Linked DNA regions of Caenorhabditis elegans. The protein of the gene in region 2 interacts with the protein of the main gene of each other region in a pairwise test. Each region holds a gene or a part of one and is shown on either strand. Other genes may lie near its edges. The genes, in order: skr-10, nhr-41, thoc-2 and rbr-2.

Region 1 (2,661 bases), about 15 Mb from region 2:
GGAGTTCTTGTTGCTAGGTAGTAAACGTTCCAACATAAAAATTGATATATGTGAATACATTTTTGAGCATCGCACAAAATTGCAAACTTTTCCGCAAAAGTGGCATGGTATTTTTGAATTTTTTGAATTAAAGTAACTAGATACGCGAGTTTTTTTTTGAATGCCCTTTCAACACTAGTTTATAAGGTTTAATTGTGACATTTTCAAACGTAATTGCTTTTGGTTAAATAAAAACTTACTGTTGCTTGTTTAGCCTCACTCTTAAAATCAACATATTGAAACAGTAGATGTTTTTTTTCAAAATTTCCAAATGTTTCAACAAGAAGATAGTCAAAGTGCATTCTGTGTTAGAACCTTGCTATGGAATATTTCATTTTAGGAATAACTCTTCAAAACAACACCTTGAAACTGTTAATAAAAATTTTGTGTAATGTTTGTCAACAAGATTACAGTCAAACTTATTTATTTGATAAGAAACACAAAACACTTGATACATAGAAATTATTTGGAAGTCGATGGTTCAGCTGCGTCCTTCTCAGCATTCGCCTTCTTCTCAGCTTCAGCCTTCTCCTTTGCAGCTCTCTCAGCAGCTTCATCCTCTTCATCAGTTGGAATTGCAAAGATGATTCTCAACTCATCAGGAGACTTTCCGATAGCCATCATGGCAACCATCTTGCATCCATAATTCATTAATCCAGGCACATCAAGGTAGTTGCAGGCAACAATCAAGTCGAAGAGCACTTCGTTGTCGATTTTCAAGAAGTTGGTATCCCATTCGGGAACAGTGATATGCTTTGGAACACTGTCATCATCAACTGGAAGTGCTTCTCCTTTGTGTTTCTCACACCATTCAATGACCATCTTCAGGATGTTTCCAGTGACATTTGTAATTGGAATTGGATCCATTGAAGCTACATCTTCTGGAGCACATGTAGAGATTAGATTGGAGAGTGTATTTGATTGTTTTACTGCTTCATCACTGATTTCGAAAACTGTTCCATCATTTGATTCAACTTTGTACATGATTGGAGCAGCAACTGGAGCTTCTTGGATTTCAACGGCAGCGACTTCAGCGGACATTGTTGGTAGTTTTAGAGTAGTTTCTGGAAAAATAATGGGTTGAAAAAATAAAGAAAGATGATTAAGTTAAGAAAATGTAGGAAAATCTGATTTCAAAAAGTAAAAAAAAGAACTGTATCTAACAGCTGTTATAATTTCGGGTAACAACGTTAGATAATAGTTTTGAAATGTGTATAGAAAGATAGAAAAAAATGTAGACGACTGCTCACAATGAGATATAAACGATAGAATGACTCTGCAGACAGACTATCCCTCAAAAAATGTTAGAAATCGATCGATTGGAACGCTGCGTTTGTTCAAAAAGTATTGATTAGTTTTCCACAGGGAGATGATGAGAAATGCCGTCAAGTTGAACGCGACGAGAAAAAGAAAATTTGACTGTTTCAACTGGTTGTTATACATTTGGATAAGATTTATATAGTATTGCATCTAAAGTTGATTGAAGAGTTATACACGCAAAATCAACAGCATGGAACGCTGCGTTTGTTCGAAAAATATCGATTTGTCTAAAAAGGTTTAATATCAACCGACAAGGTTGTTGAGGAGGCCCCTAATATTTTATCGATCAAAAAGTGGTCTGAAATAGTGTAAGCCTAAATTAATCCAAAGGGGTTTAAAGCAACAAATTTGACAAACTGGTTTACATATCCTCGATATGAATTTTACAAAAAAAAAGAAGAAAGCAAATCCCAATGCAATATTCGAATAAGGCTTGCGCTAAAATTTGATAACACCTCGAAATAGCAAAATTTAGAATTGATTTTAAATTTTTTTTGCAATATTGCGACATTTTCTCAAATTACATTTTAGGAGGTTTTTAGAAGATCAGAATATTTTTTAAGGTTATAGGTAATCGAATTTTAAAGTGATTTTTCGGTTTTATTAGTGGTACAACTTTAAGTAATTATCAAGTTTATTTCTCGATCGGGATTTGTTCAAAAATAGTTTATTATAAAAACTGCATCAAACAGGTATTATAGTTTTAGAGAGTTCAACATTTTTAATTGGACTAGAACTTTGAATGCTTAAAGTTTAAGGTTTTCAGACAAACAGATTCTGGGTCATTGATAAAACAAAAGAACGAAAAACCAAAAAAAAAAAAAATTTAAAAAGAAGGAAAAATAAAATGCAGCTGCCCAGGGTGAGAGCTAAATGCAAGAATGACCAATAGCCTAACTGGCTTCGGTTAAAAACGCTGGAAATGTAGGTCAAATTTTGACAGGATGAGATGAGACATTGTGTTATAGGCGAGGTTTAGAGAGAAAAGACCTTTGTTAGGGAAATCCTAGAGCAGGTGCACTGTCTGTTTTTCTAAACCTCCTAGAAATGCATTGAACTCTCTCTACCCAATATCAATAATTGACCTAGATTTGCAGCGTCCCAGTCGTTTTCTGGAAAAAAACAGTCTGCCTGATTGTGAGGAGTCATTTATACATTCTCTTCTCATTGTGAGTAGTCGCATTTTTTGTTCTTTCTTTTTTTCCATTTTTCAATGCATTCTATTTGTTTCTCCAATTTTTTATTCCATTTCCGACTTAATTCAATTTGGTTGCTACCTTGCTACGTCTGAGACTTGTAGAT
Region 2 (4,948 bases):
CCCGGAAAGTGGGCGGAGCTACAATTCGACCGGTGATCAAAACCTGTTTTTAGAGAGAGCGCGCGCGCTCGCGACACTGTCCTTGTAGTCCAAACTTTTGGAAAAAAGGGTATTGGAATATTAGGTATACGCAGAAAATTTAGTAAATGATTTGAAAAACTCCAAGTCCTAACCTAAAATTGTTTTAATTCTAGTTAAAATTTTGTGTTTTTTTAGGTTGAGGCATTGATTTTCATTGTTTTTCATGTCGAAATTCGGATTCTGCGTGCAATTTCCGTTAATTTGACCCCCATAATGACCGGATTCTAATTATTTTAAAATTTTTGAAAATGGATCGAAGTGGCGCAACTGGGTAGAGGTTGGGCTGTAGCGCACAAGACCGGGGTTCGAGCCCAAGTAAGGGAAAATGTTTTTCTCAAGGTTTGTTTGGATAGTTAAAGTGTGTTAAAATAAAAAGGAATCCTAGAAAATCGGAAAAATTGGAAAATTTTTTTGAAAAAAAGTTCTTTGAGCAACATTTTTTTTACCTGAACATTTCGAAGGGCATTTAGCTGTTGAATGATATTTGGCATCATTGGTGGACCGACAACTGACGGGTGTCCTAACAATGGGTTTCTGGTAGCCTGGAAATTCAAAAATTTAAGGGAGAATTTAACAAAAAAAAAACAAATTTTGGGGCAAAAGTTAAAAAATATTTTTGAAAACGAGATCAAACCTTTCATGATATTTTTTTGAGGGAAAAAAAAGGTTATCGAATGACCTTCCACACACATAGACACATAGTAATTTTTCATTAGGGTCGAGAATTTGAGAGATATTTCGTTTTTTTTTCGAAAAAAATTGGACATTCTTTTTGCCCCCGCCATATAACTTTTTCCGCTACAGTCAGCAGGCCCCTCCCGCACACTCTTCTCTAGGCACTCGAGACCTCCTCGTTTCGTCCTCCCATGTGGTCTAGTGGTTAGGATTCGTGGTTTTCACCCACGCGGCCCGGGTTCGATTCCCGGCATGGGAAGTTTATTTTTTTATTTTTGCACTGCCAGTTTTGCCGAATTCTCATTTTTGCAGAAAATAGTTTACCTGCATCATTGCCATCAACTGTGGGTTGCTGAATACGTTTAGTTGAGCCGCCATTATTGCCGGATTGAACAAATTCGGCTGAATACCAGGGATTGGTGTGTTCGCATGCTGTGGGGGTTGGAAAGCTGTTGGGGTGCCTGAACATATTTATATTTATTTTTTATTCGAAAAAAATTAATTAGAATATTACCTGGCGTTGAGGGAATTAGGTGAGATTCTTGTTTGATAGCGGTCGGAGCAATTAGGCTCCGTGAGAAATCGATGGGTGGAGGTGGGGGTTGCTCGACGGAGCAAGGGTCACCCAGCGTCTGGAATAAGAAAATTATAATTTTTCATAAACTTTCCAGTTAATTAGCCTGTTTAAGACAATTTTTCCAAACTTTAAATTCAGAGAATTTTTTTAAAAGATATTCATTGTCAAATTCGAATTCTCCATGAAATTTCCGTTAAGTTGACACCCATATTGACCAATTTACAAAAATTTTGAAATTTTTAGAAAAGTCAAAAAATTGGGTCCCAGTGGCTCAGCTGGTCAGAGGTTAGGCTGAGTCAGAAGGTCGAGGGTTCGAGCCCAGTTGTGGTTTTTATTTTTTACTATAACTGTTTTGATGGTTGAAACAGTTTTAGAGTGACAGGAATTTCATTTTAGAATTTTTTTTTCGTAAATCTTTTTTTAACTCCCATAATTTAGACTTTTACATGTTATTTTGTACAAGAAATCAAAATAAAAAGAAAATCCCTCCTACCGGACTAGAACCCCGGTCTTCTGCGTCATAGTCTAGACCAACAGATACCCGACTGAGCCACCGAGACCAAATTTAACTTATCGGAAATAGGGCAATATGGGGGTAAATTAACGGATTTTAGAGATTTTAGACGGAAGATTCGAATGTTTTAATAAAATAATTGAAAAATTGAAAAATTAGCCTTTAAAAATTTTTTAAACAATTGTCCCGAAAAAAAGTTTTTTTCAGAAATTGTTTTGTATTGTGCGGTAAATTGGTGTAGAATTTAACGTTGAATACATTTTAATTGAAATATTGGTACTTGTGTATTACATGCCCTCATTTTTATAGTAATTTTTTAAGTTGTGCAAAATAAAAACGTGAACCACACTTTTGGATTTTTAGGCTTAGGAAATAAAATTTCCTAACTAGGGAACCGTCAGAAGGTGCCCATCGGACTTGCATATGAAACCTGTGCCATTCGATAGCTGCGAATCTCCAGAACCAAGCTCACGGCGAGCTCTCAAATATCCTAAAATAGCACTGTAACGAAGCACTTTACGATCAAAACAAGCAATTTTCCTTATTCACTTTGGTAGCTCATATCTCTGCGGATAAATTTTTCAAAGAAAAGTCATCAACTGATAAATTGTTGAACTTTTTGTAAAGAACAAGTTTGTAGTTAAAAGTTTTTACCAAAAGTTTTTTGTTTTAGATAAAAGCATTAAAATCGCAATAGCAGCAGTTGCCGCACTTCATGCGCTTCTATCTGAAACAACAATTTTTTTGACAAAAACTTTCAACTACAAACTTGTTCTTTACAAAAATATCAACAACATATTAGTTGATGACTTTTCGGTAAAAAATTTATCCGCTGAGATATGAGCTACCAAAGTAAATTTGGAAAATTGGCCCTTCACTACTTCGTTAAAGTGCTATTTTCAGGATCTTTGAGAGCTCGCCGTGAGCTTGGTTTTGGAGATTCGCAGCTAAAAATTCACGAGTAACCGTTTAATTTAATTTAAAAATGAGGACATGTAATACACAAGTACCGAAATATTTTCGATTTGAGTGCTAGTTCTTCAGTAAAACCTAAAAAATGTACAAAAATGAACGTTTCCTCAGAAAACTCACCATATTAATCCAAGTTTGATGGGATGCTGAAGCTTGACTCTCAGCAAATATTAGCCCAGTTGATGACGTGGAATTTTCTAGAATAAGGGGACGATGTGGGTGATCAGAGCACTTTGGCAAAGTGTACATGAGTATACAGAAACAAGAGAGAATAATATAGTAGTACAGTGAGAGGTGTTTCAGACCGTTATTCCTGGAGACTCTCCCCCTTATCACCGCGCCGCCGGTCAGTCAGCCGCTGCTGACCAACTGGAAATATGTTTCAAGCGGTGTGGCGCGCGGCGTGGGAAATAGTGCGCGAAACCGGGAGAGTGCACACAGAGGTGAGTGACCGTGGGGGGCATTGTATGCTAATAGCAACGCGGAACGAATTTTGGGGGCGGGGGGAACTGTACTATGTGTTGCGGTTTTGGTATAACAAAGTTGCAAAAAAAAAGGTCACAACTTTTGAGGAAAACGAACATTTAAGTCTTTAGCATTTGGGTTTAAACGTTTTAAACCTAAAAATTCGAATTTTACAAAAAATTTCCGTCAATATGACCCCCATATTGACCTATTTCGGTAGTTTTTAAATTGTCAAAAATTTCGGAAAATGGGGCGAAGTGGCTCAATCGGGTAGAGGCTGGGTTATGGTGCAGAAGGTCAGGGGTTCGAGTCCCAGCTTGGTCATAAGTTTTTGTTGCAATTTTTTGAGTGACAAAAATACAAAATTTCGAGCTAGAAACTAGTTTTCAACACTTTCCATGTGTCGAGTAATTTTCGTTGAAAAAATTAAATTTTAGTAAATTAAACGTCAAATTCGAATTCTCCATTAAATTTCAACGTGACTCCCATATTGGCCTAATTAAGATAATTTTGAAATTTTTTAGAAATTTCGTGAAAATGTGTGCTGAACTGGGTACATGTTAGGCTATGGCGCAGAAGGTCAAGGGCTCGACCCCAACGTGCACCAGAACATTTTTGCACAGCTTAATTTAACATAGTTTCCCCTGTTTTAAAGTAATTTTGACATTACACACATTTTTTTCATTATTTTGGAAAAAATTTACAAAAATGTAACTCTCACAAATTTTGTCAAAAAAGTTACACTGATGGAGTAAAATTTTTTTCATCAAAATATGGAAAGTATAGAAAATCCTTGAAAAATCCCCAAAAATCATATCCCCCGCTACCGGGGGATAATCGGTGTTTAGCGGAGCCGTGAACTCAATCTGTTAAATAATTTTTTTCTTCTGTGCCGGCCGGGGCGGATTTTCTTTTTTCATTTTCATTAAGATAATTTATAGGTGAGCGGCTTTGTTGCTTAAGTATTAGCTGTGAGGATTTGTTGTTAATTTTTTTTTGGAAATTTTTTTCGACAATATTTACCCATTTCATATGATCAAAAATGTACCGGAAAAAAAATTTGGGACCGGCTGGGGTCGAACCCTGGTGTCGAGATTCACAGCCAAACCTGTTAGCCACTGAGCCATCGCGGCGAAAATTGAAAATTTCCGGTTTTTTGGGCCAAAAATTTCACATACAGGGTTCAACCTAGTTTCCAACTCGAGATTCTTTTCTTGTTAGATGGAAAAAGTCTCACAAAAATATTCACCTACAGCGGGGATTGAACCCCTGTCTTCCGCGCGTCAGCCCAACCTCTACCCAGCGAAGCCACCGCGACCTATTTTTCAAACTTATAGGAAATGGCTCAATATGGGGGCCAATTTGACTAGAATTTTGATGAAGAATTCGAGTTTTTATATTAAGAAGTTCTTAGTAGAGTTTCAAAGATTTTTTTCGGTAAAAAACTATTGAAAACTTCCTGAAAAATCATTTTCAGAAATTTTCAGAAAATATTTTAGAACTATAAATTATGTATAAAAACAAGTAGCTTTCAACAAATCTTCTCGAAGCTCTGACTTTGTTGAAATAGCTCCTCTTCGGATCCGCTTATCGATGTTCTGATCCGCTATCAAGTGGCGGAAAAATAGGAGTTGATACCTGGTTTTAGTGTCATTATGAATATC
Region 3 (7,884 bases), on a different chromosome or scaffold from region 2:
CAGAATGGCTGTTTTGTACCTACTGTTGTTTTCCCAATCTGAACCGTTTTCGCAATAGGCGACCCATTATTTTTTCTATCAACTCGTTTTTATTTTTGTTAGCTTCATCATCGTTTTTATCCACTATCTCCCATGCCTCCTCTCCCCACAACAAACACAGATCGTCTAGTAGCCTTTCTTCTCTCATTTAGGTAATTTCTTTTTATTCTTTTTTGGTTTTGAGCCCCATTTCCCTTTGAGCCCCGTCAGACCATTTTACCAGGTTCTTCTACCTTTCATATCCCCTCATCTCCACCTATCACCCCCATCTCTATCCCATTTTTTATTTCTTTTTTTCTGTAATTCCCCCTTCACTCGTTGTTGTTTTTAAGAAAACACACCCACGCCCTCTCATTCAATTATTTTATTCTTGTAATTCTTAAAATTACTTTACATTATGCGGAAAATCAATAAAAAGTAGAAATTCTTATTTCATATTTGCGTATTCTTTTCTCAATATATTATTCAGTTGGTTTTAACCATTTTCTCATGTACTGGTGATCAATCGTGTTGACGTCCACAATCGGGGACGTGGATCTGGTGACCATTTTTGGAGCCATCGGAGGCGGTGGTGGTGGTGGTGGAGCAGAAGCTGAGACTGTTGACGAGGCTGAAGGCTGTGCGATCTTTGATAGGAAGGACGGGTTGGATGCGGCCGCGTTCTGAAATTAACATGATATAAATTATAGAAAAATCTGAATAATTGTGCATTTTCTACTAAGGAATTCAATTTTTCTAGACTGAATCTGAAGATGGATCTCCAAAATTTCCGAACTAAATCAGATTGATCTGAGTATAGTTTTGTGAATTTTCAAGAAACATGATTTTTTAGTATTTCTGAAAACTTCAAAAGCCTATTTACCTGAAAATGATTCATGGCTGGAAAGATGCAAGTGGCTGTTGTCGAGTGTACAATCGGATCGCATTTCTCATAACCAAGAGATTCATAAAATCGACATTGATCATCAGTTGAGAGATATGCTTCATTGAAACCTTTTTCCGTCATCCATTTTTCTGTGGATTTCATTAAGAATTTCCCGAGTCCAAGGCCACGTTGATCCTTCTTGATCATCACTGACTCAATCCATAAGGCATGGTCACTGAAAATTAACAAATTTTGGGAGAATGGTTTGAGAATTATGATAGCTTCCTTTATTTTCAGGCTAAAATTTTTTAACTTTTTAAATATTTTTTCCTGAAATTTTAGTGAGTTATCAAATTTTCTAATTGTTGAAATATAATCCGAAAGTTTCAAATTTTTATTGTTTTATTCCAATTACTCACCGATTTGGAAGATGTGTGATTCTTGAGTGGCCTAGTATCTCGTCATTCTCCTTATTGAGCAACAAAAACGACATTGGAGGGGACTGACGGCATGATTTTTTCTGTGAATGCTCACGAGATCCATCGCTTCTGGGCCATTCCTGGAATTAGAAAAGTTCAAAATTATGAATATAGCTATTTATTTTACCAAAGAAAAAATACATTTAGAAAACCACTCTAGAATACAACTCACCGAATTCAAAAATGTCATACTCTCCTTCAAAAGATCCTGCCTATCATAAAGCGTAACAAAAAATAAGTCCGGCATCCTAATACCCGATAATTGGTTATGTTTCTGAGCTCAGATGCCCTCATCACACTCGATGGCCTAGAAATCTCAACTCTAGATTTCCCGTCCACGCGTTCTCACTCTTGTTTGCCTCGGCTGGCAAAGTGCCAACTCGCTTTAAAAAGTTTAATTTTTGAAATCTCATATTTCCTTTTAATGTTCTTTTTTTAGTTTCTGATTGAATTATTATAATTACAGAGAAATGAACGATTTCGAAACATTAACCCAGTTATGTCTCGATATTGTTCACATGAAAATCACACCGATGAAGGCTTATGAAAGGATACTCACAGAGAAGGTTTCGTTCATTTAAAATCTTGAACAAATTAGAAATCATTAATTTCAGAAAGATCGAGATGCCATCAGTTCGGAGCTGATCGACGTGTTAGTGCTCACCGAGCCGGAGAGCGAGTTCGCTGACAACGCGAGCACTTCCAAAGAGAATTTTGAATCCTTTGTGAATCTACTCACTAACACGGTAATAAAACTTTCAACTTTTAAAGCTCAAGGTTCAAAAAAGGCTTATTTATATGGAAGATAGTATTATTGGCGGAAAATAAAATTAACCTGTAGTTTCAGGATTGAAAAAAACTAATATTCTAACTTAATCCAAAATTGTTTAACAAAGAAATGAGATTTTAACTGGAAATTTCCTGTAAAAATACCAAATTTTTTTCAGATAATCCCCGAAGAAATCCTCCGCCTCGAGCTGGATTGTTTCAAAAAAGATGATCACAGCAAGGCACTAATTAGGTTGAAAACAAAAGTCTAGTAAGTTAAATTCATTCAATTTCTGCAAAAACTCATTTTTCTTCAGTTTCAAACAGGCCAAATTCAACTTATTTCGAGAAGAGTCTGAAGGTTACTCAAAACTTGTCACAGAGCTTATGGAAGCAGCCGAGAGCTCAGCGAATGAGAATGAACATGCGAAGATTCTGAAGCATCGAGTACTTTCATTAATTGGACAGTTCAATTTGGATCCAAATCGTGTCACTGACGTTATATTGGAAGTTTTCGAGAATTTCCCGAGGCAGAAGGTAAAATAAAGAATCTGCATAAATTCATGATGTTTTGGTGGTCAACCATGATGTGGGCGGAGCTTATTTGAAAGTTCAACAATAGAGAAAAATTGGAATTTATAACTTTTCCGTTTATCCTTTACAAATAAAACAATTGGAAATTCAAATGATGAGATTAAGAAATCTTGAAACGAATCCAGCTCATTTGTATTTTAAAAATATTTATTTTTAATTTCAGCTCCTTTTCATTGCACTTCTCAAAGAAATTGACGTGGTCCGTGACTATCTGTGTGCACTTCTGGGCTTCAAATTCACATTCTATCAATCGGATAAAAAGAAGAAAACGCCATATTCGTTGTACGTTCTGACAGCTTCGCTCATTCAACATGAAATGATCGATATGATGAAGATTTTAGGATATGTGAGGAGTCCCGTTTTAAATTATTCGAAATTATTAATTAATATTTATAGATGATTCCAAAAGCCGAAGCAATTAAAGAAGGGCACCGTTCAAGAATGCAGAATGCACAAGAAAGAGCATCAAAAGCAGAAACAATTTCTACAGCTTCAATGCCAATTATGGATTCAAGAGGTTTCGATGAAAATGGAATAGGTGGAAATGCGGTTAGGTCGGAAAATTGAATATTTATCTAATTTTTAAAAACATTTCAGACAACGCAAACGATTTCCTTCACTACAGTAATCCAACTTCAAGAAGACGAGGATATAAAATTATCTGAAGGGTTTAATGAGGAATATGTTCTCTCATCAAATCAGAAGCTTGGTTTAACGTGTGCATTATTAGAAAGTGGAAACTGGAAACAAGCTCAAATGCTCATTGATCGTCTCCCAGAATACTATGCAGTTCAAGCTAGTCCACGACTCTGTAGAGCTCTTTGCAAAATAATTGAGAAATCAATTAACGATTTTTACAAGAAAAATTGTTCGCTGAACTTGTTTGGAGATTTGATAAAATCGACGAAACCAGTGTTAGATGATATGGGAAATGGATTAAGACCAATCGAAAGTTGGGAAGATCTTGGAAAATTGTCAAGTGTACTTGCCTATTTGGGACCTAGAATAGCCTTTCGTGCTTCAACAAATATCAAAATTGTTCGACTTTTGACTGCCTACTACCGAAAAGTTGACAAGGATCTGCTACCGAAGGATGATAAACGTAGGTTTTTTTCAAATGTGAAATTTTGCGATTTTCGCCCCGATATTAAGGTTAACAAAACATTTTGAAAAAACGATAAAAACTAGGAAAAATTAGTTCGTATCTACAGAACTCCTTGTACTTTTGTACTTTTTTAAAATTTATGTAAATCTGTCACTTCGAGATCGAGCACCGTATTTTTGAAGAAAAAAAAACAACCATTTTCAAAATTAAATATCATTATTTCAGTAAATCAAAATTTCGTGGAAGTCGTCTCCGAATGTCTTCTACCATCTCTCACACTGTCCGAAACAAATGTTGCACTTAGTGAAGAGATTTGGCAGCTCCTTGAGCTTTTCCCGTATTCTTGGAGATATTGGATGTATTCAAAATGGAATCTTGAAACTTCAAGACATCCAGAAATGCATATAATGAAGGGGAAAATTCATGGACGAACAAAATATGTTCTGAAGCGTCTTTCGAAGGAAACTGTAAAGATGATGGGCAGACAATTGGGAAAATTGTGTCATATACATCCATCTACAGTACTCTCATATCTCCTCAGTCAAGTGCAAACTTTTGATAATTTCATTGGACCTGTTGTGGATAGTTTGAGATATTTGACAAGTCTTGAATTTGATGTTCTCACTTGTAAGTTTTCAAACAAAATTTAAAACAATTTTTTTTAGAAAACGAGAAAAAACGTCCAAAAAATTATTTTGTTAAAACCACGAAAACTGAAAGGTTTTGTAAATTTCGAACGTTTTTTTTTGAGAAATTTTAAGATTTTAACATATAAATTCATAAAAAAATTTTATGGAAAAATTGATACATTTTAAATTTTTGAGTCTTTCAGTTAGCTATGTGAAAAAATTCTCGTTTTTTTCATTCACTTGTAAACAAGTCAAACTTTTTCAAATCTATTTTAAATATTTCTCATTTGAAGGTTTTCCATTTATTCCAGATTGCATCATCTCCCAATTGGCTGATCCATCGAAACAAGCTCTCAAATCCACTGATGCTACCATCTCTCCTTGGCTGCAAGCTCTTGGAACACTGGTTGGATCTCTCTATCGAAGATATCCACTCGAACTGAACGGAATGCTAGACTATGTGCTAAATCAATTGAAACTTTGCAAAAGTTACGATATGCTTCTTCTTCGAGAAATTATCCAGAATATGTCATGGATCGAGAGTATCAGTGGAGCAACGAAAGAACAAATTGAAGCACTTGGAGGTGGAGACTTGTTGAAACAGGAAGCTGGTGGATATTCAACGGCAACAAAGAATAGAAAAGCTGCTCAACGTCTACGTGATGCACTTCTGAAAGGAGATTTGGCTGTTGGATTGGCAATTTCAGTTGCTCAACAAAAAGAGCATATTGTCTACAATGAAAGCTCTACTCTTCCATTGAAACTTGTTGGAAAAATGGTTGATCAGTGTAGTGACACATTTCAACAACTCGTTTCATTTTTGAGTGTTTATCTGAAAAATGATGATTTTTCGAAACGAGTTCCAACTGTTCGTGAATTGTTATCTGATTATTCACTTGGAATGGAAGCCACAATGTGTCTGGCGAGACCTATTTTCTTCTCAAGAATATCAGATCACTATGATGCGGCTAAAAAAATCTCGAAAGCTGCTGTTGAAGATGGACAAAAGACTCGTTTGGATACACAGCAAAAGACTGAAATGTTTACAAGTGCGTTGGAATCACAAGTGGAAATGTTAATGGATGAGCTGAAAGCATCTGAACCTGGCATGGAGGAGAATATACCTGTGAAGTGAGTTTTTATCAAATTTTCGCCCAGTTTGCTAAATTTTTCTTTCAGATTCTTCGCTGTTTTCTGGATGCTGACAATGTATGATATCGAAGTTCCGACAGCTGCATATGAACGGACACTTGATGCTTTAAAGAAACAGTCAAGAGAAGACAGTCATGTTAGTTTTCATCTATAAATAATCTACTATTTTTTATTTCAGGGAAAAGCTAAGAAAACTGATAAACAGTTGGAGAGTAAGCTTCGAGAAGAGCAGAAGAGGCAAATTGAGCACGTGGAACGTTGTAAAGTATGGCTTCTGAACAAGAAAGACTCGTTGATTGATGAGCAATTCCATAATTGTAAGTTTATGCATGAAATCCGCTTTAATACTTTTCCAATATTTCCAGCTGTATTGGAAGCTCTCATTCAACAATGCCTCCTGCCACGTGCCATATTCTCCGAACTTGATGCAGTGTTCTGTGGTCAATTCTTCATGATGCTTCACGAAATGCGGACTCCATTCTTCCCATCGGTTCTGATCATTGACAGACTCTTCGAGAACATAATTCCTCTGATCGCGGGGCTCACCGAGAACGAAGCCAACTCGCTGGCATGCTTCTTTGAAATTCTGCTCTGCACTGTTCAAAGATGGCACTCGGAGAAAGAAGTTTTCGAGAAGGAATGTGCAGGATTTCCAGGAATGATCACAAAACAAGCAATTGAATATCAAACTTTCCGAAAGTTATGCTATAGATGGCAAATTCGATTTACTGCCATGTTTAAGACAGTCTTCACAAAAGATGATGCTGACTATGTACTTATCAGAAATTCATTGATTATGATGACAAAGTTGACATCTGGATTTCCAGTCATATCACATGCAGTCGCCACAATGGAAACAGCTGTAACCAAGTTGAAGGATCGAGAGAAGGGAAAACGTGACGATCTATCATTAAAAGCAGCCTCGTATGTTGGAAAGCTCAAGATGAGAACTGTGAAGATTTATGCTCAAAATTCGGATTACGCCCCAGTTCCCAACAAGAAGGTGTCGGTCGGTGCTGAAAAACCAAAGAAAAAAGAAAAAGTGGTAGATGAGAAAGATAAAGCTGATGGGGAACCAGTTGATAAGAAGATTAAAGTAGATTCGAAGAAAAATGGGACGACGAGTTCGGAGAAAGTGGTGAAAGATGATGAAGTACATCAGAATGGAAGTGAAACAGAGAAGAAAGCTACAGTAGATAACAAAGAGAGAAAGAAGCGACCTGGAGTGAGTACATAAATTATTAAAATTCACAGAACTGAACTAACTATTATAATTTTAGAAATCATCCCACGGATCAAAAGAATCAAAGAAAGAGCCAACAACTGAAGATGGTGAAGTGAAGACTCCAAGTCCCCCTCCTGCAAAGAAGACTCGAATTGTTGATCGCTTAAAACGGTCTGATGAACCTTCAAAGAAAGATGAGAAAGAATCTCCGAAGGACACAGAATCTGAAAAAGGAGAAGGTAAGAAAAGAAGAGAACGATCGAAAGACAAAGAAACAGGAAAAGAGAAACGGTTGGAGAAGGATAATAAGGAACGAGAAAAGGATAAGGAAAGGAAGCGAGAAAATGGAGAAAACCAGAAAGAACAAAAGATTCTCAAAGATCAGAAGCAAAAAAGCAAGCCGTCCGATGAGAAGCTTGAAGTGGCAGGACCCGCGGTAAGATATTAACGTTTTCTCAAGCTATTTTCAAAATTTTCCTTTCGAAAATGTGATTTATTTCAGCTTCCCGACCCAGTTCCCAAGAAAGATGACAAGAAAGGCTCTCGAAAAGCGATTGAGTTTGATCTAGAGGAGCCTTCAAAATCAACATCGTCCTCTCGAAAAGATCGCAAAGATGATCGAAAAGAAAAAAAAGAAGAACTTCCAAAGGCATCAAGAATAGCAGAGCCTGCACGTGATGCTGGAAAGAGTGGAAGAGATCGTGGGCATCGAACATTTAGATGAGCTCTCACCACATATCCCCAGATTTTCATTATTGTATCTCAGTTTATGTTGTCTACGAGGTTTTCTATTGTATCCTGATGGATTATTAAATATTCGTTTTATTTTTTGTTAGCATTAAATCTAAAGACATTGGATCGTTGAACTTCTTGGAATGTGAAAGCAATGGAAGTATTTCGAATATAGAATGCTTGCTCGAAGAGTCAATCCAAAAGTCGAAGATCAAGTGCTAAATGTGAGCAAAAGACAACGTCAAATTTCCGAACGACTTCCAATCTATGGGAACAGCCCTTTACTTGAATTTACT
Region 4 (7,723 bases), 9.5 Mb from region 2:
TGTTAAATTAGCAAATACGCAAAATTGAACAAATATGGTAGCCGGTCTCGACACGGCAATTTTTTTTACTTGCAAAAAAGTTGTGTGCCTTTAAAGAGTAAATAAAAACGCGGAAGTTTTTAAAATTTTTTAAAGTTTTACGACAATGAAATCCCACAGAAACGAGAGTTGGTAACTACAGTATACTTTTTGAAGGCGCACACCCGTTTGTGTTTCACAAAAATTGTCGTGTCGAGACCGGGTACCGTATTTTTGGCACAAAGTTTTTTTTTGAGATCAGGTCTGTCACAAAACAAAGGTTCGTTTTTTTTTCTCCTTACAATTAAATTTTTTTTCCAAAAAACCACAAAACCCGATCTTAATTTACCTCTCAGAGTGAATCCAAGACAAATCACATGGAACCAGTTTTTGCAGCCTGCTTCACACATCACCCAGTTCACTGAGTCTCCATATGGCTTCAAACAGGCGCGAGCTTGACACGACTTGAATTCAGACTCGTCTTCGTAATATTCACTGGGTGATGCTTGACTTTGACGTTTGCGTGATTTTTTCGACGTCTCTTTGTGTGAAACACTTGGCCTTTTGCGTTTAGCTGTGATTTTTGGATCGAAGAGTGATACCGATGGTTTTGAACGAACCGGGCGATTTTTGAGTTCTAGTGCGGCGCTGAAAAAATTAAAAATAAAATTAATACATATAATGTGTACAAACCTTGACTGTTTTTGAAGATATTCCATATAAAATTCTGAAATCAGCTCGCGTGCCTTCGGAAGACCATTGGGATTCAGAATTTCACACGATAGCCAATCGAATAAGGCAATTTTACAAATATCGTCGCTGGATTCTCCTGATTTCCGTTTATTAGCAGCTTCCATCAAATTTTGAGTGATTCCACGAGTTTTTTGTATTAGATTTCGAACAAGATGTGTTTCCAAACATCCAGAAGGTGTTCCATTCAGAGCAGTTGTTACATCATCAATGACTGGACGTTGTCCCCGTAGACATCGAACACATAAAAAGCATCCTTCTGGAAGTTTTTCAAGGAACGGTGACCACTCGCAACATCGAACATGAAACTCTGAATCGCACATTATGCATGTCAGTGTTGATTCGGAATCATCTGATTTGTTGAATCCAAGACATGAGCATGCTTCAAGACCACGAGCTGAATTTGCTTGTTTCACCTTTTCAAAAATTCTCATTTGCATTTCACGTAGCGATGATTGATGATGCACAATTTGATCTAATGACTCGAATTCTTTCATTTGATGCCATTCATCAGATGGATGTACTGCGCCTCCTTGAAAATATAATGGTATCGTTTGTCCTTCAGCAAGTGGAGTTAAATCATCGCGTTCGGAGAGAATCTGGAAAATTCAAGTTTAAGGCAAATTAGATCGAAGCTAATGTCTATGCTACTTCCTGATTGGATTAATGTTACCCAAATATACGGTCACCGGTCTCGACACGAAATTTTTTCGTTTAATTTAAAAAGGTGCGCGCCTTTAAAGATACTGTAATTTCAAATTTTTGGTTCTGCGAAATTTTCCTTGATTTTTCTTTTTTTTTCTTAGTATTTGTCTCATGTTTTTAATTATTTCAACATAGTTTTTTATTAAATAAATAAATTTATAACGAAAACTATGAAAAATCTATGAAAATTCCGCAGTAACGAAATTATGAAGCTACAGTAATCTTTAAAGGCGCACATTCGTTTGTATTTAACTAAAATTGTCGTGTCGAGACCGGGTACCGTATTTTTTGCGAAAAATCGTCAAATTTCACGAATCTCACTCACTTCAAAAAGATTGTGATACGCATTATTTGGCTTGAACAGAATAGCTATCCTCTGAGTAAATGCATTCATTGTGCTGATCATATCCAAAATCCCGAGATGCTCTTCGGAACCGTTTAGACATTTTGAAGTTTCGAATGCTTTACTGATTTCGGCCGCCTTCGATAGTGTAATTTCAACATTGACAATTTTCTGCAGTTGTGTTTTTAAATCAAATTCTGATAGCACGGGAATTGCGGCATCTATCATTGACTTGATTTTGGCAACATGAATGATCTCATAGCGAACCATGTTAATATCTTAAAAATTATTTTGTAAGAATTACTAATGCATTAAATAACAAACATTTTTCATAGAACCAATCAGTTTCTCTAAGGCTTTGCCAAATTGATTGAAGCTGATCAAGTGCTGGATTCTCACAGAAATTGTTTGCAATGACCTCGAGTGTATTGGCGTCACGGAGCATTTGTTGAAGTTCAAAGACGAGTTTAGAAGTACCATCTGTGGGATTTCGTGGACTATCACGAATCAATCTGAAACATATAATTGAATTTTTGAATTAAAGGGGTATAGAGTATTTGGAAATATTTTTAAGGTCTCATCATGAAATTCGGTCGTTTTGGGCCGAGCCCATTCGAGGAAAAATCCACAAACACAAATTTCCTTTTAAGAGAAAAAATATTTTTAAAATCTTACGATAAAATATCACTGGATGCATATCGAAGCTTATACTCAAAATCAATATCTTTCTCCATATCGGGAGTTGCCTTCCATGTAGTAACTTTTCTTGCTCTATCCGACCAATCCTTCATTTGAATAACTTTTCGCAACTCATCGATTTCTTCCAATTTAATATCATATTCATCTCCCTCTTCAATAATCTTCTCGATTTCTTCTTTTGAGTATTCTTGTTCTCGATAGATAGCATCTTTTGCTCTGTTTCTCCACATTTCAACTTGTTCCATCCATTTCTCAAGTTTATCAATAATAACAGTCAAATTGCAATCCATGGCTTGCATTTGTTCAATCAATGACCGTACTCCCTCGGTGTCTGTACGAGTGTCGGCTCTCTGACATCGGGTTTTTGTTCGCGTTCGTACTTTCTTAAAGAGCAATTGATTTGCTTTTTCAATGGCACTCTTGGCTGTATGACGAATTGTTATCAATTTATGAACTTGATCTGTCTGTGGATACTTGTTTTGTTTGGCAGAATCTATAAACTCTTCAATTCTCTCGAGTTTTGGTTTTCCTTCTTCTTCAAGCATCTCATCCGACTCTTCTTTCCATCCATTGTAGTTAACCGTACGCTTTCCAAGTTCATCACACATATTGTTCAATTGATCCAACTCGAATCTGTACTGATATCTGTAGTCTTTCGTTGTACACGAATTGCAAAGATGATCATGATGTTCAACACAAGTCATTTTCTTGTGTTTGTTACAAACCAATGCACACATGAAGAGAGTCGTCTTACAAAAACGACACGATCTTTGTTCATCTGGAATCTTTTCGAACATCACTTGCTGCATTTGGCGATTGGAAACTCCGAGGCGAGCGAGAAGTTCTCTCAACATTTTTTGTTTTTCATATATTCTTATCAGTTCTTCATGTGTTGCTAAACTCATCGAAATTCCAAGTTTATCCATTGCTTCAACCATTTTAAAGAGAAGCTCATCATGAGAAAATACAAGATATCTTCGTACATTTGAGTAAGACTCAACGCATTCTCGACCTTTTGATAGCCAATCAATTGGAGCGAAATTGACAGCTTCCGCAAAGTTGAGTCCCTCATTGAAACCAGCATGATAAGCACGTGGGAATGTAATGACGAATTCACCAGCATTCTGGTGAACTGAATGAATTGGAACTCCCAATGAACGAAGAAGATGAGGATTTGCAGCTGTAGTCATATGATGGAATAGATCTCTTTGTCTTCCAGTTAATCCAGGTGCTATTTTCTTCAATGCATCTTCAAACTTTTCAGCATCTTCTCCACCAACACCGTACCAAATTTTCCGTTCTCCAAAATGATTATAGTTAACAGAATACGTCCAATGATCTTCGGTGTGCCAGCAGAACGTCGAGAAGCACATACCAACATAGACCCACGGTACCATCATTCCAGAAATTCCAGTATTAAAATGTGAGAGAACAGATTCTCGAAGTACAGGCATATTGTTCAGATTCCATGCATGTGAAGCGTATTGCTGCTTCAGCTTCAGATCTGGGCCAGTGTGCTTATCTTCTTTTCGAGGAAATCCACTTCCTACTCGACTCGTAATCAAGTCGGCACCGTATTTGACAGAAACTGGATTTTCGTGTGAAATTACATTCTTCCAGAATGATCGTTCCACAGCATCACACGACACTTGTGATACATCTTTTACACCGAAATAATCACATTTCCATTTGTTGGCAAATTCAGTGAATGAGTTCAGATTGTATTCTGTGTCCGCATCATAAAATCCCCAGTCTAATCCGATTTTTGCATCCTCTGATTCAATGCACTTTGGACATCTCCACTCGCCTTCTGGTACTTCATCGAGTACTGGATCACAACAATATGTATGACGACCATTATTGCATCCATCAATATCGCAAAGAAGTAGTAGATCTTCATCCTTTCCTTCATTACAAGCAACGCAGAATACTTGATCCATTGGATCTTCATCATCATCATCGTCTCCTTCGGCTTTCTTCTTATTTTCTGTAATTTGTGAAAATAAATTTAAAAAATTTAAATTTAAAAAACGAACTTCTTCCTCTGGTTGAATTCTTCTTTGAAGATGTTCCAAGAGTCTTTCTTGAAGATGAAGCCTTCTTATTTTTAGATCTCCGTCGACCACTTTGCATCGACACTGGACACTCATCTTCCCCTCCTTCAGTAGTTTTATCATTTGGAACTTCTATTTCTGTCCGCATAGTTCCGTGGTGATGTTGATATCTATGAAATTCATTCGTTTTTAATTAGAATAATGGGGGAAATTATTAATAACAAAATTAAAAATTTTACTATTTATCGGTTTTAACATTTTTTCATGGTTCTAAAAAACAAAAACATGGGTACATAAGAAAAATTTAAAATGCATATAATTTCAAAAAAATCCATCTACATTATGTTTTCTTAACTGATTTGTAGATTTTTATTTATTTAAATTTCTTAATTACTCACTTATGCTTTAATTCTTCCATTTCATCATCACTTTCATCATCATTTTTCATCGCTTTTTCTTTCAAATTTCGATTAAATGGTTCAATGTGCAAATTATAATGTGATCGAATCAAATTTATGAAAGCCGACGGAACACCGCGAGCCATTTGCTCCTTTGGAAGGTATTCGCGGGCAACGTCTCTCCATTTTTCATCTTCATTCACTTCTTCACATCCTCCAAAGTTTTGAACTATACGATGTAATCGATACAAATCGACAATATTTCCATCTCGATCCACTGGAAACTCAAAAGTTAGACCAGAATATCGATTGAAATTGATTAATCGGTCAATAAATGTGTGTTTCTCTTTGACAATTGCCTCCACTTCATTCAGTTTTTGAGTTCGGGGACGAAATGTAAAGGCTTCTTTGTCGATAGCAAACGGTGGTTTGAAATTCTGCAAAAAAAGAGAGTTGATGCTTCTCGATTCGTTTTTTGAGGGAAAAATCAAAAATTTTCAGATAAAATTGCACTTTTCAAGTGGTGACCATTCTTTTAGTAAACTGAAAATTTTCTAATATTTAGTATTTAATTGAAGGGAGTAGTAGAAGTTTTTAAACTACTACAAACATTGTTTCGCTTTTTTTCAGACTTTTCAAAAACGATTAAAAACTTGTTAAACGTCAGACGTACAATTTTCCGAATAAATAACTTACCGCCGGCGGAACAATTTTAACAACTCCAAATTTTTCGGCCTCGTGTCGTATTTTGGCAACATACTCGATTGGATCTGAGAACTCTTCTTCTGTCGGGTAGTAAATTGGAGCCATTGGAGGTCGTACGAATTTCTGAAAACTATGAAAGCTTATTCACCTTATGTATGTCTTAGTAATCAAACCTTATAGAATTGATCGTACATTTCCATTTTGCTTCCATGATTCTTAGATCTTGAATTTCCGATGGATGCTTTCTTCCGCGGAGAAGTGCTCGTCGACGGTGCTGACGGCGTCGAGATACTGTTCTCTTGACGACGTGCACGCATTTTTCAGTTTGGCTTATAGCTTCATGAGATCTGTAAATTTCATTTTTGTTTGACTTTAATATTAATTGAAATTAAAAGCTTTGAGAAGAAGAACATTTTAAGTACCGACGAGAAATTTCCATGTGATGAAACAAGATGCATCACGAGTGTTATGATAGACGTCATAGAAACCCGGAAATGAAAATTAGCTTATACTCCTTTAAAATTGGCTTTTAAGCTTTTTCTTATTAAGCTTTTGATTTGAACTTAATATTGTATAAATAATTAAGCTGAAAAATGACTCATATTTAAATATATATATTTCTCCAATTTTTGAGGTCGAGCAGCTTTTCAAAGTTTAGACAAGGATCTTTGGTAGAGTTTTAAATGTAGGTCAAGACACGTAAGGCATCGTATAGTAACTCAAATCATTGAAAACTCCATCTCTCTGAATCTTTTTGATGTGTCACCTAAAATGCATTGAGAGACTGGTATTCTTTGACCACTTTGCAGTAGGTCGGTGTCCTTTTCGTCAGAAATTGCGTGCGGTAAAGATAAGCGGAGAAACAGAAAAAAATATAGATAAAATCGAAAAACCGAGAGGAAATAGCCCCCAGCGCCCACCAGGGTCGGCCCACGAAAATCGAGGAAAGTGCGCTCCGCCGAACATTACTCTCGAGTGTCCACTCTCGTCGTCTTGTCACTCCTCTGTTTGCATGCTATTCGCTAGCAATAATCTCTCGGTCTCCTGCCCAATCACACTTTATTCATGTTATGTGCGCGACGCGTTCTCGCATGTGCCTCCTAGTAATACGTGAATTTTTGCACTAACTTTTTTTTGAGGCCAGCAGCTGAGGAAAGATGGGCGCACACAAAGAAAACGAAGAGAAAGCAGGAAGACGCATGTAAAATGAACACAGACTGAGAGAAAAAGAGAACATGGAATTATGGCTCCGAGAGCCAGCATTTTTAATTGAAGATTTGAGACTGTGTTTGTTTACTACGGTTTTAAAGGGAGGCGTATCAATGCGGAATGGTCTCGCCACGCACTGCGAACTCATGAAAAAATTGGCGTGTGCGCCTTTAAGATGACTGTAGAGATTTTTCTGGCATGTCTAATTACATAAAATACAGAAAATTGGGAAAAGAACAATCGAAAATGAAGAAAAGGGAGAAACGAGAAAATTGGAGATTTGCCAGCAAACCCTCTACAGTAATCTTAAAGGCGCACATACCAGATTTCTGAAAAAAAAATCGCAGAGCGTGGCGAGACCATTCCGCATAAACTCGCCACTTTAAAATCATAGAAGTTGTAAAAAGTACACAGTAATATGTAGAAACTGATTTCGCCGAATTGTGAATCTCCATAGTTTCTAAGGAATGTGAATATTATTTTTCAAAACTAAATCAAACTCATTAAAAAGTTATTATGCGCCCGTTTTGAAATAAACGATGGTTGCGCGCGAGAGAATGAGAAGACATAGATTATAACTGCAAAAGCAGAATCAGCTGTCTGCGTGTGAAGAAGCTGATTAAAAACGAAAGGGCGAAAAAGACTTGTTTCACACGACTACACACATTCTTACGACAAATAGACGAAACGGAGGGAGAATCAGAAGTTTATGACCGAACGCTGAAGACGTGTAATCACAGACGTGGTTAGAAAGTGAGGCTGAACGCGGAACTTAAAGCGAAAATGTGTAACATATTGAACAGTGCACGATTTTCAGATGTTCAGAGCATTCGTTTGACAGT

The links.
Region 1: the proteins of nhr-41 (region 2) and skr-10 interact in a two-hybrid assay, tested with the Caenorhabditis elegans proteins (one large-scale study listed by BioGRID).
Region 3: the proteins of nhr-41 (region 2) and thoc-2 interact in a two-hybrid assay, tested with the Caenorhabditis elegans proteins (one large-scale study listed by BioGRID).
Region 4: the proteins of nhr-41 (region 2) and rbr-2 interact in a two-hybrid assay, tested with the Caenorhabditis elegans proteins (one large-scale study listed by BioGRID).

The regions. Positions count from the first base shown.
Region 1 is NC_003282.8:15,945,226-15,947,886, reverse strand, and holds skr-10 (Skp1-related protein), read right to left. Parts: upstream 1,081-2,661; coding exon 502-1,080; downstream 1-501.
Region 2 is NC_003282.8:1,384,283-1,389,230, reverse strand, and holds the start of nhr-41 (Nuclear Hormone Receptor family), read right to left. Parts: upstream 3,017-4,948; 5' UTR 2,943-3,016; coding exon 2,940-2,942; intron 1,389-2,939; coding exon 1,271-1,388; intron 1,218-1,270; coding exon 1,081-1,217; intron 1,016-1,080; exon of another isoform or gene 944-1,015; intron 624-943; coding exon 528-623; intron 1-527.
Region 3 is NC_003281.10:6,366,193-6,374,076, forward strand, and holds thoc-2 (THO complex subunit 2), read left to right. Parts: upstream 1-1,849; 5' UTR 1,850-1,853; coding exon 1,854-1,949; intron 1,950-1,997; coding exon 1,998-2,129; intron 2,130-2,330; coding exon 2,331-2,422; intron 2,423-2,468; coding exon 2,469-2,688; intron 2,689-2,908; coding exon 2,909-3,091; intron 3,092-3,141; coding exon 3,142-3,294; intron 3,295-3,342; coding exon 3,343-3,847; intron 3,848-4,075; coding exon 4,076-4,477; intron 4,478-4,790; coding exon 4,791-5,610; intron 5,611-5,658; coding exon 5,659-5,767; intron 5,768-5,809; coding exon 5,810-5,948; intron 5,949-5,996; coding exon 5,997-6,856; intron 6,857-6,911; coding exon 6,912-7,292; intron 7,293-7,358; coding exon 7,359-7,580; 3' UTR 7,581-7,712; downstream 7,713-7,884. Other genes in the region: C56G2.15 (N-acetyltransferase domain-containing protein), read right to left, coding at 501-701, 902-1,139, 1,324-1,463, 1,556-1,630.
Region 4 is NC_003282.8:10,918,373-10,926,095, reverse strand, and holds the start of rbr-2 (Lysine-specific demethylase rbr-2), read right to left. Parts: upstream 6,027-7,723; 5' UTR 5,990-6,026; coding exon 5,846-5,989; intron 5,803-5,845; coding exon of another isoform or gene 5,796-5,802; coding exon 5,664-5,795; intron 5,405-5,663; coding exon 4,968-5,404; intron 4,740-4,967; coding exon 4,552-4,739; intron 4,503-4,551; coding exon 2,492-4,502; intron 2,329-2,491; coding exon 2,141-2,328; intron 2,095-2,140; coding exon 1,799-2,094; intron 1,368-1,798; coding exon 712-1,367; intron 667-711; coding exon 368-666; intron 1-367. UniProt on the Caenorhabditis elegans protein: Histone demethylase that specifically demethylates 'Lys-4' of histone H3, thereby playing a central role in histone code. Does not demethylate histone H3 'Lys-9', H3 'Lys-27', H3 'Lys-36', H3 'Lys-79' or H4 'Lys-20'.